Linked DNA regions of Oryzias latipes. The protein of the gene in region 1 interacts with the protein of each later gene in a biochemical or structural test. Links are inferred from orthologs where the notes say so. Each region holds a gene or a part of one and is shown in the gene's direction. Other genes may lie near its edges.

Evidence for each region.
Region 2: the proteins of ras-related protein Rap-2a (region 1) and nedd4 form a complex in vitro, tested with the Homo sapiens proteins (2 studies listed by BioGRID). The link is inferred for Oryzias latipes from reciprocal best matches to the Homo sapiens genes RAP2A and NEDD4.
Region 3: the proteins of ras-related protein Rap-2a (region 1) and ralgds form a complex in vitro, tested with the Homo sapiens proteins (2 studies listed by BioGRID). The link is inferred for Oryzias latipes from reciprocal best matches to the Homo sapiens genes RAP2A and RALGDS.

Annotation. Positions count from the first base shown.
Region 1 is NC_019879.2:23,115,720-23,120,769, reverse strand, and holds the start of ras-related protein Rap-2a, read left to right. Parts: upstream 1-1,602; 5' UTR 1,603-2,326; coding exon 2,327-2,640; intron 2,641-5,050. UniProt on the Homo sapiens protein: Small GTP-binding protein which cycles between a GDP-bound inactive and a GTP-bound active form. In its active form interacts with and regulates several effectors including MAP4K4, MINK1 and TNIK.
Region 2 is NC_019861.2:21,566,407-21,571,582, forward strand, and holds the start of nedd4 (E3 ubiquitin-protein ligase NEDD4), read left to right. Parts: upstream 1-1,945; 5' UTR 1,946-2,527; coding exon 2,528-3,826; intron 3,827-5,176. UniProt on the Homo sapiens protein: E3 ubiquitin-protein ligase which accepts ubiquitin from an E2 ubiquitin-conjugating enzyme in the form of a thioester and then directly transfers the ubiquitin to targeted substrates. Specifically ubiquitinates 'Lys-63' in target proteins.
Region 3 is NC_019867.2:33,311,208-33,316,317, forward strand, and holds the start of ralgds (ral guanine nucleotide dissociation stimulator), read left to right. Parts: upstream 1-1,879; 5' UTR 1,880-2,789; coding exon 2,790-2,810; intron 2,811-5,110. UniProt on the Homo sapiens protein: Functions as a guanine nucleotide exchange factor (GEF) activating either RalA or RalB GTPases and plays an important role in intracellular transport. Interacts and acts as an effector molecule for R-Ras, H-Ras, K-Ras, and Rap.

The DNA of each region.
Region 1 (5,050 bases):
TTTTGATTAGAAAGACACGGTCTGACTCAGAGGGGTAAATGTAATCCTTTTCAGCACTTTTGCTACAGTCACATGACTGGAAATATGCGCTTATTATAATTTTTTTGGGAACTCTGCCTTATTTTCCTTCTGTTTCTCAATCGGTTTTGGTTTCACAGTTCAGAATTGTTTTAGGAAATTGCTTCAACTTAAGGTTTCCTAAAGTCTTGAGCCTAAAGCCATGGTCGCAGATTGTATTTCAAATTCTACCCTGAAAGGCCTCGTGTCAACTCCTTGGTTTGCTTTGAAGCTGCCAATGAAGGTGCCATTAGGTTACAAACTGAAATAAAATCCTAATGTTTTTCAAGAAAAGTTGTGCATAATTAAACATTTCATATGGACAGTTTTGGTCTGTAAGTTTAAAGTTATGTCAAATCTGATTTGTTGCAAATAAATTATATGTACCTGAAATTCAAAGTTGTCCGATTTGTTTTTTTGATTATTTAACATTTAAATGCTGTTTGATCCAAATATATGATAAATCATCTTTTGTTAAAGCGCTCCCAGTGCTCTTTTAAGTACGATTATGCAGTTTTAGGCAAAATCAAAAAACCTGTGTTGTTTTTTAGGAAATTGTTTCTGCAGAGCAACAGGAGTTCAATAGAAATTCGCCTCTGAGTTGTGGGCAGGACTGTTAGCGTGGAGCAGCCCTGCTTTTCAACATTATGTTGTTTGCATGCCTGCCCACGATCTTACAGCCCCTCACATCCCCAACATTACTGGCACAGGAAAAATGATGAGCAACATCAGAGTTATCCAGCCGTACAGTTTAGAGCCAGATACCAATTCGAACGGGGAAAATGAAGGATGGATCTATTTGTCTGCAAGTGGACGCATCGGAATGGAGTGGAGCAGACAGAGAACTTGTGGTCTGACGACTGTAGCTTCTACGTCACTGCTACAGGCTTTTTTTAAACTGCTCATAATTGCAGACGATTTCATTTTAGAAATGCAATTTTAATCTTATTATATTTATATATATGTATATAAATATATATATATATATTGTGTGTATATATTGTATATATATAAATGTATATATATATATATGTGTGTATGTATATATATGTGTATATATATGTGTATATATATATATATATATATATATATATATATATATATATATATATATATATATATATATATATATATATATATATATGTGTGTGTGTGTGTATGTATATATGTGTATATATATATGTGTGTGTATGTCTATATATGTACATATATGTATATATATATATAGATATATATATGTGTGTGTGTGTGTGTCCTCCATCATTAGAGAAATGCCTCAATAACATGTTAAAAACATGATTTGCTTTGGAGTGGGTTTTTAAAACTGCAAAAGTCACTGTAGTAAGTATTACAATTATTGGTGAACCGTCTTTCACAGCCCATTCTCAAATTTAGTCCTCGGCACAGAATGCTGCGTTGCCATGGTAACAGCATCTTCCTCATGTTTTGCTCCTCCTGGATACACATCCTCGTCTGGGTCCTGTGATTGGACGTGCTCTCCGTGGATGTCACCGGGGCAACCAAATGATGGGAATTGGAACACGTGAACGGAAGTGTCACCTCTGGATTTCACTGGCTCCCCTCCGCGAAGCTCTCATTCAGCCACGAATGAGACGTTGGAGGCACCGGCACTTCCATTGGGCTGGCCACGCGTCCGTCTGAGAAGGGACCGACCCCCCTCCCTCCCCTCATCCCACCTCCCTCTGCTCGGCTCGGTACGGTAGCCGAGCGGGGACCGGCTGGTTTCGCAGCGGCCGCGGGTCTCCACCCGAGAGTATGGCGGATGGGAGCGCGTTGGATAGCGGGGGAGAAGCGGAGACATGTCAGGGAGGGAATAAGGAAACAAAGAGAGGCCAGTTCTTTCACCCAGTGCAGATGTAGGCTTCCTCGATCCGGGTTTCTCCGAGGCTTCGCGCTCGTTCTCTGGCGTTTTATTTCCCCGATCATGGAGCAAGTTTGTTTTTTGTCATGCACAGAGACGGGTGAGCTCAGCGGATGAACCCCCGCTCGGTCCACGTCCTCGGGCCAGCGTTCGTGCGTCTCCCCGCTCGGTTCGGACAGCCGCGGTCCCCGCATGCGGGGGTCCGGCCTGCCATGGCGATTGTCTGACTATGAAGCCCGTGTCGGGGCAGCGAGTCTTTGTGCTCTGCCGTTGCTCGCGTTGACACCGACATGGCACGCGGATGCTGAGCGCCGTGAGTGCGGGATCCTTTCTTCCTGTTCGATTCAATGACAGCGTCGGTTCCGCGGCGACTCGACTAAATCCACGATGCGCGAGTATAAAGTGGTCGTCCTGGGCAGCGGGGGGGTCGGGAAATCCGCCCTCACCGTGCAGTTCGTCACCGGGACGTTCATTGAGAAGTACGACCCCACCATAGAGGATTTTTATCGTAAAGAGATCGAGGTGGACTCTTCACCGTCGGTGCTGGAGATCCTGGACACGGCCGGGACCGAGCAGTTCGCCTCCATGCGGGACTTGTACATCAAAAACGGCCAAGGGTTCATTCTGGTGTACAGCCTGGTCAACCAGCAGAGCTTCCAGGACATAAAGCCCATGAGGGATCAGATCATTAGAGTGAAAAGGTTGGTGGTGACCTCAAAAGCCCCCCCCCCCCCCCCTCTTTTTTTTATTCTTTTTACACTCCAGAAAACCAAACTCATCTTCTCCTTAGACTTCACATTGCTGACAGGGCACCAATCCTAAATACCATCTGCTTTTACAGAAACCTGCTATTATGTGGCTCCTGGATCCACACAGTGACTGCGGCTCCCTGCAAAAGCTTTAAATACCCATGATTCAGTGCAGCACAGAGACATCCAATGAAGAATGTGCGTGTGTGTCCTGCAGAGGAAGCCCCTGTCTCACATCGGGCCGGTTCTGCAGACGGGGAGCCCACGTTTGTGCTCAGCAGCCTTCACAAAAGAGCCGCGCCGTAACTTGCGCGAGCATCCGGATGTGAGGTCACTCGTCCTGCTTCATGGTTGATGTTGCATGATGTCATGAAATCCTACCGAGAGCTTAAATGTGTTGTGTCATGGATGCAGCTGCAGCAATCACCCACGCTGCATTTGTTTGTCTTTTATTTTCCGACCAGTGCGCAGCGTGCGCTGAGCTGCAGCTGTTCGGGGTCATCTGTCATGCGTTAGAGCGCTCCACAAAGACCAAGAGAAGGCACGTTGAGGGGTTTTGAGGATGCAGTTACAGCTCTGCGTCAGTTTTCCTGTTCCTGCAATTAAAAATCTCCACAAAAAAAAGTGAAGAGTGAAGAGAAAAACTCCAGAGATGTTTATTATGCTGATTAATTTAAGATCTTTTATGTTATTTGAATCTTATCAAACATACTTCCCGAACAATCCTGGTATAATGTGTCACTGCTTGAAAGAATGAGGTCAACATGTTTCCCCCACATGAATAGAAAATAGAAAGAGGTAGATCTGTCTGCAGTGTGCCAGTGTGTGTTCTTGTGTCAAAAGTGTGTGTGTGCTCATACAGAACGTCGCACACAAGGCAAAACTGTTGTGAGACTTTATATCTAGTATTGATTCTGATGATTTTTCCTGACACGGCTGCATCTTTTTTAGGGCTTAAGCACTTTTCATAAGCGTATCCAAGTCAACCTAAAGGGATGTAATGATTGTGAGTGGTCTTTTCTTTAGTTATTAAGCTTCGATCCACATTGCGTTGGCCTCTAAAGATTCTCTCCAATGACAATCGTGTTTTGGGTGTTTTTAACATGTTCTTGTAGCATTTTTCTGACGATGGAGGGCAATATACAGAAAAGTACCATTAAAATTGTGTTTAGGGTTAAATCGTTGTGAAGCAGAGGGTGCCTGCTTGAAACTCAGCATGGGAGGGTTAAAGTAGAGAGCCATTGGGTCCCGTTTGTTATGGTCTTTGGGATGACTTAAAAGTAGATTTGATGATGGACACTCTACCTCCTTTAGCTTCTTACCCGTACCTTGTGTGAGAACTATAGTGATTGGTCGGACAATTGAAGTGGGTCGTGTGATTAACGCTCACTGATTTGGCGGTGCATGCTGAACCCATTAAAGGGTCTGAAATGTGAGATTTGATCTGCATTTTAGGAATCTCTATGTTCACCCATCCACCCATCTTCTAAACCACTCAATCCCTTTTGGGGGTCACCGGGTTGCTGGGGCCTATCCACGCCAATAGTGGACAAAGGCAGGGCACAGCCGGGACAGGTCACCAGTCAGTTCCAGGGCCACACAATCAATCACACTAACACACTCTTAGGAACAATTTCAGATTCAACAATTAACATATCAAGCATGTCTTTGGACTGCGGGAAGGAACTGAAGTACCTGGAGAAAACGCATACATGCAAACATGCGAACTCCACACAGAAAGGTCCCAGCTGGGAATTGAATTAGGGCCTCCTGGCTGTGAGGCGAGTGCTAACCTCTACCCCACAATGCAACCTTTCTGTTTTCCAATTACTCTATTTGGCTACAGTAACAAAAATCTTCCTCTGATTCAAACACATCATAAACGGTCATCCCTGCATTTACTGCAGTGATCCAGGGATTTAGCATAACAGCGCGTTAGCAGGCCCCAGGACAAAAAAAAAAGTGTTTTCTAGCGGTTACCAATGAATGACAGTCAAAGATTTAACTGGAAAAGTCAGTTCTCCTCTTATAATTTCCTTCTTTGGTCTTGTCAGCACAGTGTGACGTTTCCCACCTAGTTTGGTTTGCTCAATGTACCAACTCCTAAAGGACCATCCTAATAAGAAAAGACCCAAAAGGCAAAATCAGCTAAGAAGTCAGCCTTTGAACAAGTTAATAATTCCTGTTTTCCGATCATTTGAAAACAGAATGGCTTTCTTGTCTCATTTCTGCTTGGGCAATAATATATTTTAGTATCAGTCAAGTTATAGTTGGTTGAATGCTGTATAGCATTCAACCCTTTGTTTTCCTCTTACGCTATCTTCCGCCGTTTTTCGGCACTTAACTCCTTCTACAATTTTCA
Region 2 (5,176 bases), on another chromosome or scaffold:
ATTTTATTCATATGGCAAAATTTGAAATACAAGATCTAACGACACGACATGGTGAGACGACGTAGCTAACGACACTAGCAACGGTTGCTAAGGAGCCGTAGTGAGACGACAGGGAGGAACGACACTGTCAAAGACAAATGCAAAGGTTTAAACATAACCCATGAACAAATGTTCAGTAGACAGAGACAATGGACCAAAGACATAGACAGTGGTCACAAAAACATATATTTGGCACAAACAGAACCTCATATACTATAACATGTTTGGTATTTCTAGGAAAATGTATTTTTTACCATCTCTCTGTTTTGACAAAAGATCCTTTATAGTGTTATAACAGAATTTTTTTTTGTCTCTGGTTCATCTCTTAGACTTCTCTAGAAAGTGGATCCGTCCTTGTATTATTTCGGTTTCTCTTCATTTAAGGAATCCTAAAACGACGCCCTTTCCTTTCAAACATAGTGAAGTTATCAAACACATTGGGAAACACTGATAAGGTTGGGTTGGCATAATGTAAATTCTCATTAACCATTTGCACTGTAGTGGTTCATTTTGGTCTCAATGGACTATCTTTCAGAGATTCTGCTTCCTATTTATTACATCCTAATGGATATCTTAGCCTCCATGCTTCTAATTTGTCAGTATAGGACTCAATGTGTAACCACAAGGCTCTTTAGAACAGAAGATTGTCTTGCTCCATTTAGATCGAGAACTGAAAGATTTCCTGGATCCTGGATGAAGTGGTGACTCAAACATCAAACTTCTATGTTTTATCAAAAACATGTGTCCATGGCAATTGCTTAGAATGATTCCTTAGAATTTGATAGTCTATGTTTATGCTGTAATTGGTTTTTATCTAATAGGTACCATCTGCAGACTACAAGTTTTGATTTTCTGTTCACTTTTGATACGCGCAACCTGATTCTGCTAACGATTTTTCCAACTTTAAAGAAGTCAGTATTAAATATTGTAAAAAAAATAAAATTATAAATATTTGGCTAAATCAGTGATGTGACATTGTCCATTCCTGGTAGGTTCCATTCCATACATGTTAGTGTTTCTCCGCTCGATTTAATTTTGTATTACTGCTCAATTTCAGTCTCACTGATACATCCAGTTGGAGCAGTTTGATTTATTTCAGAGCTAGATTGGTTGGTTTACTGTAAAGTAAAATAGTTAAGATTTAGACTGACTCCTATTTTACCTCTTCAAATTCTCCTCAGATCTTATCTCAGAGTTTCCATTTGTAGCAACAATATCTTGCACTCTTAAATGTTGAGTAAATATGACCTTGTTTACTTCTGCGTCATGGAACATGAGATCCGGCAAAGCTCCTTCATTGTATTAATATATTACATCATGATACAGTTGTGTAGATTGACAAATATGTGTGTGGTGTTAGTCATACATCTTATCTTATGGCTGACCTATCACCATCACTCTCCTCTATCAGTTCTGGGGAGTGACTCATCTGCAGTCATGTGGTTCACTGGTCATGTGAGACATTGTTCCACCATGAAAGTGAGCAGGAAAAAAAGTGTCTGCTCGTGAGTCATGTCATTATCCTAGCTTTGCTTCTTAATATTAAACATTACCACCGCTCTGTATTGGAAAGCAGAGTAATTATCGGAAATAGACCAGCCTAGCTAACAATAAGCTTCCATTAATAAACTGGACTGTCAACAGCCATGGAAAAGAAATCAGAGCAGCAACTGGCTGTTACATGCGGAGTCATATAACCAGTGTCGTGTGACGGTAATGTCACAGTTATTATAGTTTTTATTTTAAAAGAAATATCCTTTAGCTCAGTGTTTAGCAGTTTGTTGGATCCCTGCTCAAAACAAGTAATTTAGCATTCTAGTTTATCACTTTGGAAGTCTCAGCATTAATGCTGTTGTGCAGCTTTAAATCTGTCTTACAATCCAAATGATCTATTTCTTCAACTTGAGCTTCAGTTTGATTCAGAATTATGTTGAAAGTCTTTCATTTTGATTTCCTGTAATTTCCTGTAATTCAATAGTAGAAGGTAAAAATATTTGTTGGAGGAAGGAGCAGCGAAACATTAGATGAACTGCAGTCACAGGAAGTGCAGTCCTGAGTGAGTGAGCCAAAGCAGATGTAACAGTTCACTAGACATTCAGCGTAAGTCTGCCTTCTTCAAGCTGGTTTTTCTTTCTTTTTAAAAGAGTAAACAAGATTGAATAAGATCGAGAGGGCAGACTTTCGATAATGGCATAATTACTTGTGTTTTACTGTAACTTTGTTTTCTGTTAGGGGGTCTGCTCTGGTTTTAAAATTGTTCATTTGGGTCAAGTATCCAAACAGAACCACTGGCCCCTTCTGACTTAAAGCTGAGATGAGCCTGGAGAGGAATGTAGGTTGTCACCAGAGCTATTTTGGCAATGTCCAGTCGCTAATGATTGTGATCACAGCGGAGTGCGCAGCAGTTGCTTTACTTGCTTCTTTTTCCTACCAGCAAGTGTGATCATGCTGCTCTTACAGGCGCTGCAGGGATTAGGGAGTTAAACAAATGGCGCGTCGGCTCCGCTTGCATTTCGCGTCAAGGAGAAGCAACACGGACCCCCTGTCACAAAGCCCGAGCAGCCACGATGAGGAGAGCGGAGTTGGTGCGTCTGTACGTAGTCCCACACAGAGTCTGGCGCACAGTTCTGTCCACTTGAAGGTGACTCCTCTGTCACCAGACTTTGCCAACAGTCAATACTCTTCAGTTTTCATACCGAGAGTTAACACTGGAGGGTGTAATACGAAGAGCGTTCTACAAATCTCACTGCAGCCCTGTGGACAGCTCAGTGGAGAGCAGGATGGCAGCATAGAGGATGGAGACCCTGGGGTTAATGAAGGCGGCGGAGGGTCGTGCCACAGCAGCATGGCAAGTGATGCTGGTTACTGCAGCAGCAACAGCATCTTTGAACCGGAGCCTCCAGAAAAGCACAAGACCAACCACGAGAGAACTCGACTCTCCTGGAGAACCAGAGTCCCACTGCGGAGGTGCTCGTCTTTGGTTATATTTCCAAAAAGCCCCTGCAGCACTCCACCTGCCTCCCCAGTGAGTTCAGGAGCTTTGCCACCTCTCCTGCCAGCAAGAGGATCTAGTCATTCAACTCCTCAGTCATCTACCAATACATTTTCACAAGACGACGAGGAAGTAAGTTACAAAGGGTCCACCACAGCTGCAGTCAGTTGCCAAAGTCAGCCAAGAGGAAACTGTTCAGCAGCTGAGGACTCGAAACACACGGTGCACTTTAATCTGCCTGTACAGGATAAACAGCAGTCCAAAGCTGAGAGCAGGAATGCAGGGGCAGAAGTTTCATCAGCTCCAGACAGGTCTAATCGTCACTCAAGTAGTTTGCTGCTGCATTTTACCCCCCACAGTCCACAGGGCTCGACAAAGGCAGCTCTCAGTAAGGATGCAAATGTGGAATATCCAGAGGCTCATCACCCTACTAATCGTGCTGAGCATGTACATGATGGGAAAAAAAAACTGTATCGCAGTACCTCTGCTTGTTTGTTTCCTTCTACAAAACCATCGCCCAAAAGGAAGCCTTGTTTAACGGGGAATGGCCAAGACTGGTCTGAGGATGGTCGCTGTCACCGTGCCGTGCAAAGGAGTTTTTCCCTCGAGGTGCCGTACCCTAACACCGAAATTTCATGTCACGTTTCAAAACCGAAGCTCAGCAGCTCTTATTCTCCCCATGTGCATATTCATTTGTCGCCCTGTTGCCCCACAAAGTTGCCCAACTCTACCAATGATGTAAACACAAGCCATAAATGGAATAATGAAACAAAGAGTTCAGGTCAGAGCACCAAGGTGAGTGCTATATTTAACGCTAACACCGACTAACAGCTGAATGCCTGAACTGGGATGTTGTGAAAACTAACATCTGTCAGAATTTTTTTTTAATGTAGATTATTGCCATATAGTTTTTCTGTGACATAAGTTCTGCTGAAAAAGTTGCTAAATAAGTCTAGCTTACAAAGATGTAATCTTACCCATCAGGATACTATTTAAAACGGGGTAATTGGTGCAAAATGCAAATGACAGGGTTTTATAAAATATGTAAATAACAAATAATTTAGAATTTTTGCTACCAGAAAAAAAATAGTTTCAATAAAATTTAAAGAACAATGCTACATATTAAGTACACATTTGTTTTTTCTAACTCTCCTTTTCATTTACTACCACTAAAGTGTTGCTTACAAGGGTTAGCCTTCAGGCTTTGTTCAAGACGTGCTGTAACTCCATAAGATCTTGAATACAAAGTCACGCAAAGAACAAGTACAGTGTGGACAAACACTTAGAGATATTGATTTACATTATATTTAATCCTTCCAAATGTGGATTTCCAAATAATGTGTGAATTGCAAAGACATGGTTCTTTACCATCTTGGGGGCATAACAATCCAATGTTGGGCAAACTCAACAGTTCCCTACTTTTATGATTCGGTTAGCACTATGAAGGATCAACTTAAGTATATCCCAAGGCTAATTTTAGTGGTGGGAAAAGTGCTGCCCCTTGCTGACTTAAATAAAGGGGCTCTGAAATATTCCCCCTGACTCCAGATAGTCTGGTGGACTGAAGCACTGCTTGGTCCTGTGGATTCAAATTTAACAGCATGATACTAGAGCAGCACACAGTCATGCCAGCCATCTGTGGACATGGCATGTGTGTGCGTGTTTCCCAGTACGTGTGCTGCCTGCACTGTTGTTCGTCTTCCAAGCAATGTTTGTTAAGTATTATGTGTCGGTCTCCCCACACTTTTGGCAGGTTGTAAGAAACTAAGGATTTCTGTCACATTTAGATGGTCTTTTCATTTTTAAAGATTTTAATGTTGCGCCCTCCTTTTAAATCATACTTTGTTCTAAATGCAGCAAGGACTACTAAAAGGTACTTGTAATGGTTATTCAGTCAAGTCTCACATCACACATGTGCAGTTAAAAACCTTTTTTTTTTACTCCTGTTCCACTTGCACTTCACCACCAAAGACATTTACTGCGTTATGTGTAAACTTGTCTCATACTGTAATAATGCTTGTATGTTGTTCCTAAATTTCATGCTTTTCCCCTCAAAATTTGTTAAATTTGTTGAAGTTTAAATACTTCCTCAGCTCATTTGCTGTGTTACTGCTCTATATTTATCAGAATGTTACTGTCACACAT
Region 3 (5,110 bases), on another chromosome or scaffold:
CAACAACGACTGCACTCCACGTACTTATTTCTGCACTGAAAGTGATGGGGAGGTGGACCTCCTCAGCGTTCCAAAGAGACTTCAGACTTAAATCGACCAATGTGTTAGCAGCAGAAAGGAAACAATTTCTTGGATTATGGATGTTTGAATACTATATTGCCAGGTGGAAGCCTCAAATTTAGGATGTTCTTAAGCTGTATTACAGTATGCAATGGAGCTCGAAATTGGAGGTTACTTAAGCTGGTATCATAGTATGCCGGATGGAAGCATCGAAATTATAGCCGTTAAGCTTGTTCGTAGTAAAGATGGAAACTTCTAAATCATGGATGTTACTTAAGCTTTTATCATATTATGCCAGTGGAAGCTTCGGATTGGATGTTAAGCTTCGTGTCTGTCATGGCGTCGTAGACGTGGCAGACCCGGAAGTAAACTCTCGACCAGAAATAGTTTGCAAAGAGGTTTTAATTCTCCTGGGGGTTTACAGAGCCTCCAAGTGAGCGTAGCTTGAATAATCTTTGGATGAAGATCTGACGTCCCAGGAGCGCGGCGGACCGTGGAACCTGAGGAGCGTAGCGTGGGGGAACCGAGGACGGCGGAATCAACTTGAGGTTGAGCAGGATGCCAAGGACGGCGGAGCGACTTGAGGCGAAGCGTGGACGCCGAGGACGGCGGGACCAGCGTGGAACATGGAGAGGAGCTCTGCCACGGGAACCAGCGTGACCAGTGGGAGATGAACCTGAAGGTGAGCACAAGCGAGGTAAGTAACGTGACTTGACTTGGTTTAGAAAATACTAAAAAGCCAGACATAAGCACCGGAGTGAGTATAACAAACTGGCGCTGGATACTGGAGAGGAGAACCCTTAAGAAGGCAGGCAGGAGATGAGGAGATGCAGGCCAGCTGGTTCCAATCAGCAGAGCAGGAGCAGGAGTGCTGGGAGGGGGAGGTGGCTGACACAGGCACCGTGACAGTGTTGTCTTACAGGTTGGTGCTTGGCGGATCAATTTGTAGTCCCCTACAGCGTTCTTGCGAACATGGCTCCACATTCAATTTGCCTGGTTCTTTTCCTTCCTGTGTTCCCTTCGTGGCGCTGTACTCGAACGGGAGCAGCCCAACGGTCAATGGTGCCTGGTCACACATAGTCATACTTGTAAATCTGAATATGGAATACCTCTGAAACACACTTCGTCTGACTTACACACTGATTATACATTTACATTTTCTTCATCTTGATGATATTTGGTGTTGGGGGTAGTTATTACCCAAAACTTTTATGGAAATTTTGTTTCATGGAATTGTACAGAGCCTTATGCCAAACTAAAAGAATGTGAATTAAAGTATGGGAATGCCAAACTAAAAGAATGTGAAAATAAATATATTTTTGCTGCATTAGTTGTCTGACTGGAATGATATTATTGCTAAAAATGATGCAGGAGTCCAGCTGTAAAGAAATGACAAAAGAGCAAAGAAAACGGAATGATCTGATTTGTTATTTCTAATTATTAATTTATTTAGGCTTTGTTTTTTTTGTTCTGCAGCATGTTCATTTTTGTATAATTTTGACAGAATTTATTTTTATGTAGAGCAAAATATTATTTGTTATGTAAAGTTTAACTTCATTTATTCTGGATTAATATGCCTGTTTTTATTCATATTTATGTTCCAAGAGTTTAGTTTTAAAGGTTTTACATTTTTAAAAGATTAGCTTTAGTGTGTTTAATAAATGTTTACCTTGTTCGGCCCCCTGTGCGACCGAGTTTGACCCCGCTGTAATATGAGTTGATAAAATGTATGCATTTTTGGTGTAAAGTGGTCAAATAAGCACAGGTAACACAAAAAGAATCCCATCAAATGGGTATGTGTGAGGGGGGGGGGGGGGGTCACTCGCCCGCCCAGGAATTATTTAGTGTAGAACCGCCACTGGTCGTAGTCAATGGGTTGTTGGGCTTCGTGCTGCGGGGCAGGGACACAGCTGTCTGATGACCAGAACCCGGACAGTGAACGCCTCGTTCGGCTGTTCAAGATGCTCCAGAACAACCCGAAAGACAGAAACTGCGATATCCGGGACGCCATGAATAAACACGCAATTGAAGTTCTAATATTCAGTCTTCTTGTGTTTTAGGTACGTTTGGAGGACAAACAAACAGTTGGAAAAATGAAAACTTTAAAGACTTTAAAGGGAGCGAGTTGCATTCAAGAGCGCCACTTTCGCCTCTGCATTGTTTCGCGTGTGATGCGTTCAGGATCCTCGTGATTTCTGCTGCTCCTCCTCAGCGTCGTCTCTTCTCCACCGGCAGCAGCATCCATTAAGGGTCACTGTACTCTCATCAGCCTCTTCTGACCCCGATTCACGTTTTTCCACCAGGATGCCGTGGTGGAGACGCAGCGAGCGCCTGTCAGGACTCGCGGACGCCAAGCTCCCCGTTTTCTCCCCGTCCTTCCAAGCGTGACTTGAAGGCAGCGGAGCGGCGATGTGAGCACCAGGAGACAATCGTCGATGGTCTGGCTGAAGCTAGCGCGCTAAGGTTAGCCGGGCCCGATCTCGGTGGGTGTTTCCCTCCCCTCGCCGTTCTCCCGTGAATCCCCCCGAAGGCCTCTCCGCGGATGTGAAGACATGCCCGAGCTTTCCAGGGGCTTTCTCCCAGGCATGAAGCCTCCTGGCGGCGTAGCCCCCCGGCCGTGAAGCATCCGCAGTCATTTTGTCCCCTCCGCGAAGATGATGCTGGCGGAGGAGCGGGTCTGACCGGGACTAGCTGGACGCTCTCTCCGTGAAGGCCATGATACCGAGAGAATGATAATGCTGGAAAAACAGGTAACATCTGGAGCCTTTGGCTCTGTATCTCAGAAAAATCTGACATTTTTTCACACTCCCATGACAACCAGCAAAAAACTGGCAATCAACCAGATCCAATGAAGTGCCAGCAGATATTTGGTACTTGTATAATATAGAGATACAATAAAGATGATAATCCTTCCACATTTCAGTTCATTCCTCTCCACATATTTCAGTTTCAGTGTAATTCACTGATAAATAAGTGCAGCTGTCAGATGAAGAGGGTCTTTTTGTTACCACATTTTAGGATCTTTAAAAGGTTGAGACTATAAATGTAAGCTTTCATTGTTGCTAAATATACATGGGGGGTCAATGCAGTTTAAAGTAAAGGAACAACATATTTTACACTTACAAACTCTTTATTTAAAGGCCATTTCAAATTAAGGCCAAAAGCTGAAAACTAAAACTACAACATTAAATGAAACTGACAAATAATAAATCAGCTTCAGTTTGCACCACTTTTCTCTTTTTTAAACTGTTTCAAGGCTCTGAGATATTGAAAATCTTTCATCTGATGATGCTCAGCACCAAACAGGCTGCAAGGTGATGCCGTACTGCCCGTCACAGAAACAGTAATGTGATTGTTTCTCTGTGTCTTTCTAAGATCCTTTATGTCTAATATAATTCAATTCAATTATTATTGTAGCCCAAATTCACAACAGTTGTCTCGATGGGCTGATATGGAGGTAGAGGAGATGAAGATGTTGAGGTTCTCCTTAGGAGTGACCAGGTTAGACAGGATAAGGAACGAGTACATCAGAGGGACGGCTCATGTTGCCTGTGTTAGCGACAAAGTCAAAGAAAGCCAGACTGAGATGGTTTGGACATGTTCAGAGGAGGGATAGTGGATATATTGGTAGAAGGATGTTGGAGATGGAGCTGCCTGGCAGGAGGGCAAGAGGACGGCCAAAGAGGAGATATATGGATGTCTTAACAGAGGACATGAAGTTGGCTAATGTTAGGGTAGAAGATGTCCATGATAGAGTGAGGTGGAGGACGATGATTCGCTGTGGCGACCCCTGATGGGAAAAGCCCAAAGAGAAAGAAAGTTGTCTCGATGGGCTTTCATATAGGTAATTGAAAAAGTTAAACATAAAATTAAAAAGATCATGAATACATAGAATTCATTCGGAAAATACTAAATTGACAAACTGACTAAACTAAACTGGCATCCCTGCCCTTAGACCCCCCTTCTCTGTAAGGAAAAACTCCTAAAAAACCGGATTCCGGAAAAAACAAAGAAACCTCAGGGGTGCCCACATGAAGGAGGGATCCTCCCCCAGGACGGAAAGGCGATTTACCAGAACTCTTAGAGAAGAATTAACTTAATCTAAATCTACAACTACATATTTAAAGTCCAGCAGATGAGCTTCATCCAGATGGAGTTAAAAATGTTTTACCCAGTTCTTTGTTGAACAGTGTCTTTTGTAGTTCACTAATGGGATGTAGTTTAGCTGCACCAGTTCAAAAAATTTGGGGGAAAAATAAATACCTAGATATTTGCTATTGCCTGATTTGACTGGTAGAGTCTTTGCTCTGCATTACTGTTCAGTGATAGTAAAAAAGATTTATTCCAATTGAGGAGTCGGATACGGAGGAGAATCCGTTAATGATTGTTTGCTATTTCACTTTCCGAATGTAGATTATGGAGAAAAAGTAATTTGTCATCTGCATAGAGACAAATTTTCTGATGGCTGTGTTTGGTTTTAATTCCTTTAATGCTCTCATTCTGTCTTATTGCTGCAACTAGAGGCTCCATAAATATAGCGAAAAGGGAGGGGGAGAGTGGGCAACCCTGTCTGATTCCTTTTCCAAGAAAAAAACTGTTGGAAGTCTGTTTGTTAGTTCTGACTGATGCATTTGGGTTGCAGCATAATATTTTAATCCAGTCAATGAATGATTCCCAGAACCCAAACTTATGGAGGGCAGCAATGAGGAACTTCCAATTTACCATGTCAAATGCTTTTTCAGCATCCAACGAGAGTATGGTCATTTCCTGGTTTGTAGTAGTGGCAAATTCTATTACAGTCAGTTGGTATCAATATTTGGACAGAGACACATTCTTTCTAATATAGTTTCTGTACATTACCACAGTGAATTTGAAATAAAACATCTCAGATGCCATTGAAGTGCAGACTTTCAGCTTTTATTCCATGGGTTGAACAAAAAGATTGCATAAAAATGTGAAAAACTAAAGCATTTTTTAAACACAATCCCTTCATTTCATGGCCTCCTAAGTAATTGGACAAATGAAATAACTGTAAACCAAATGGTCATTA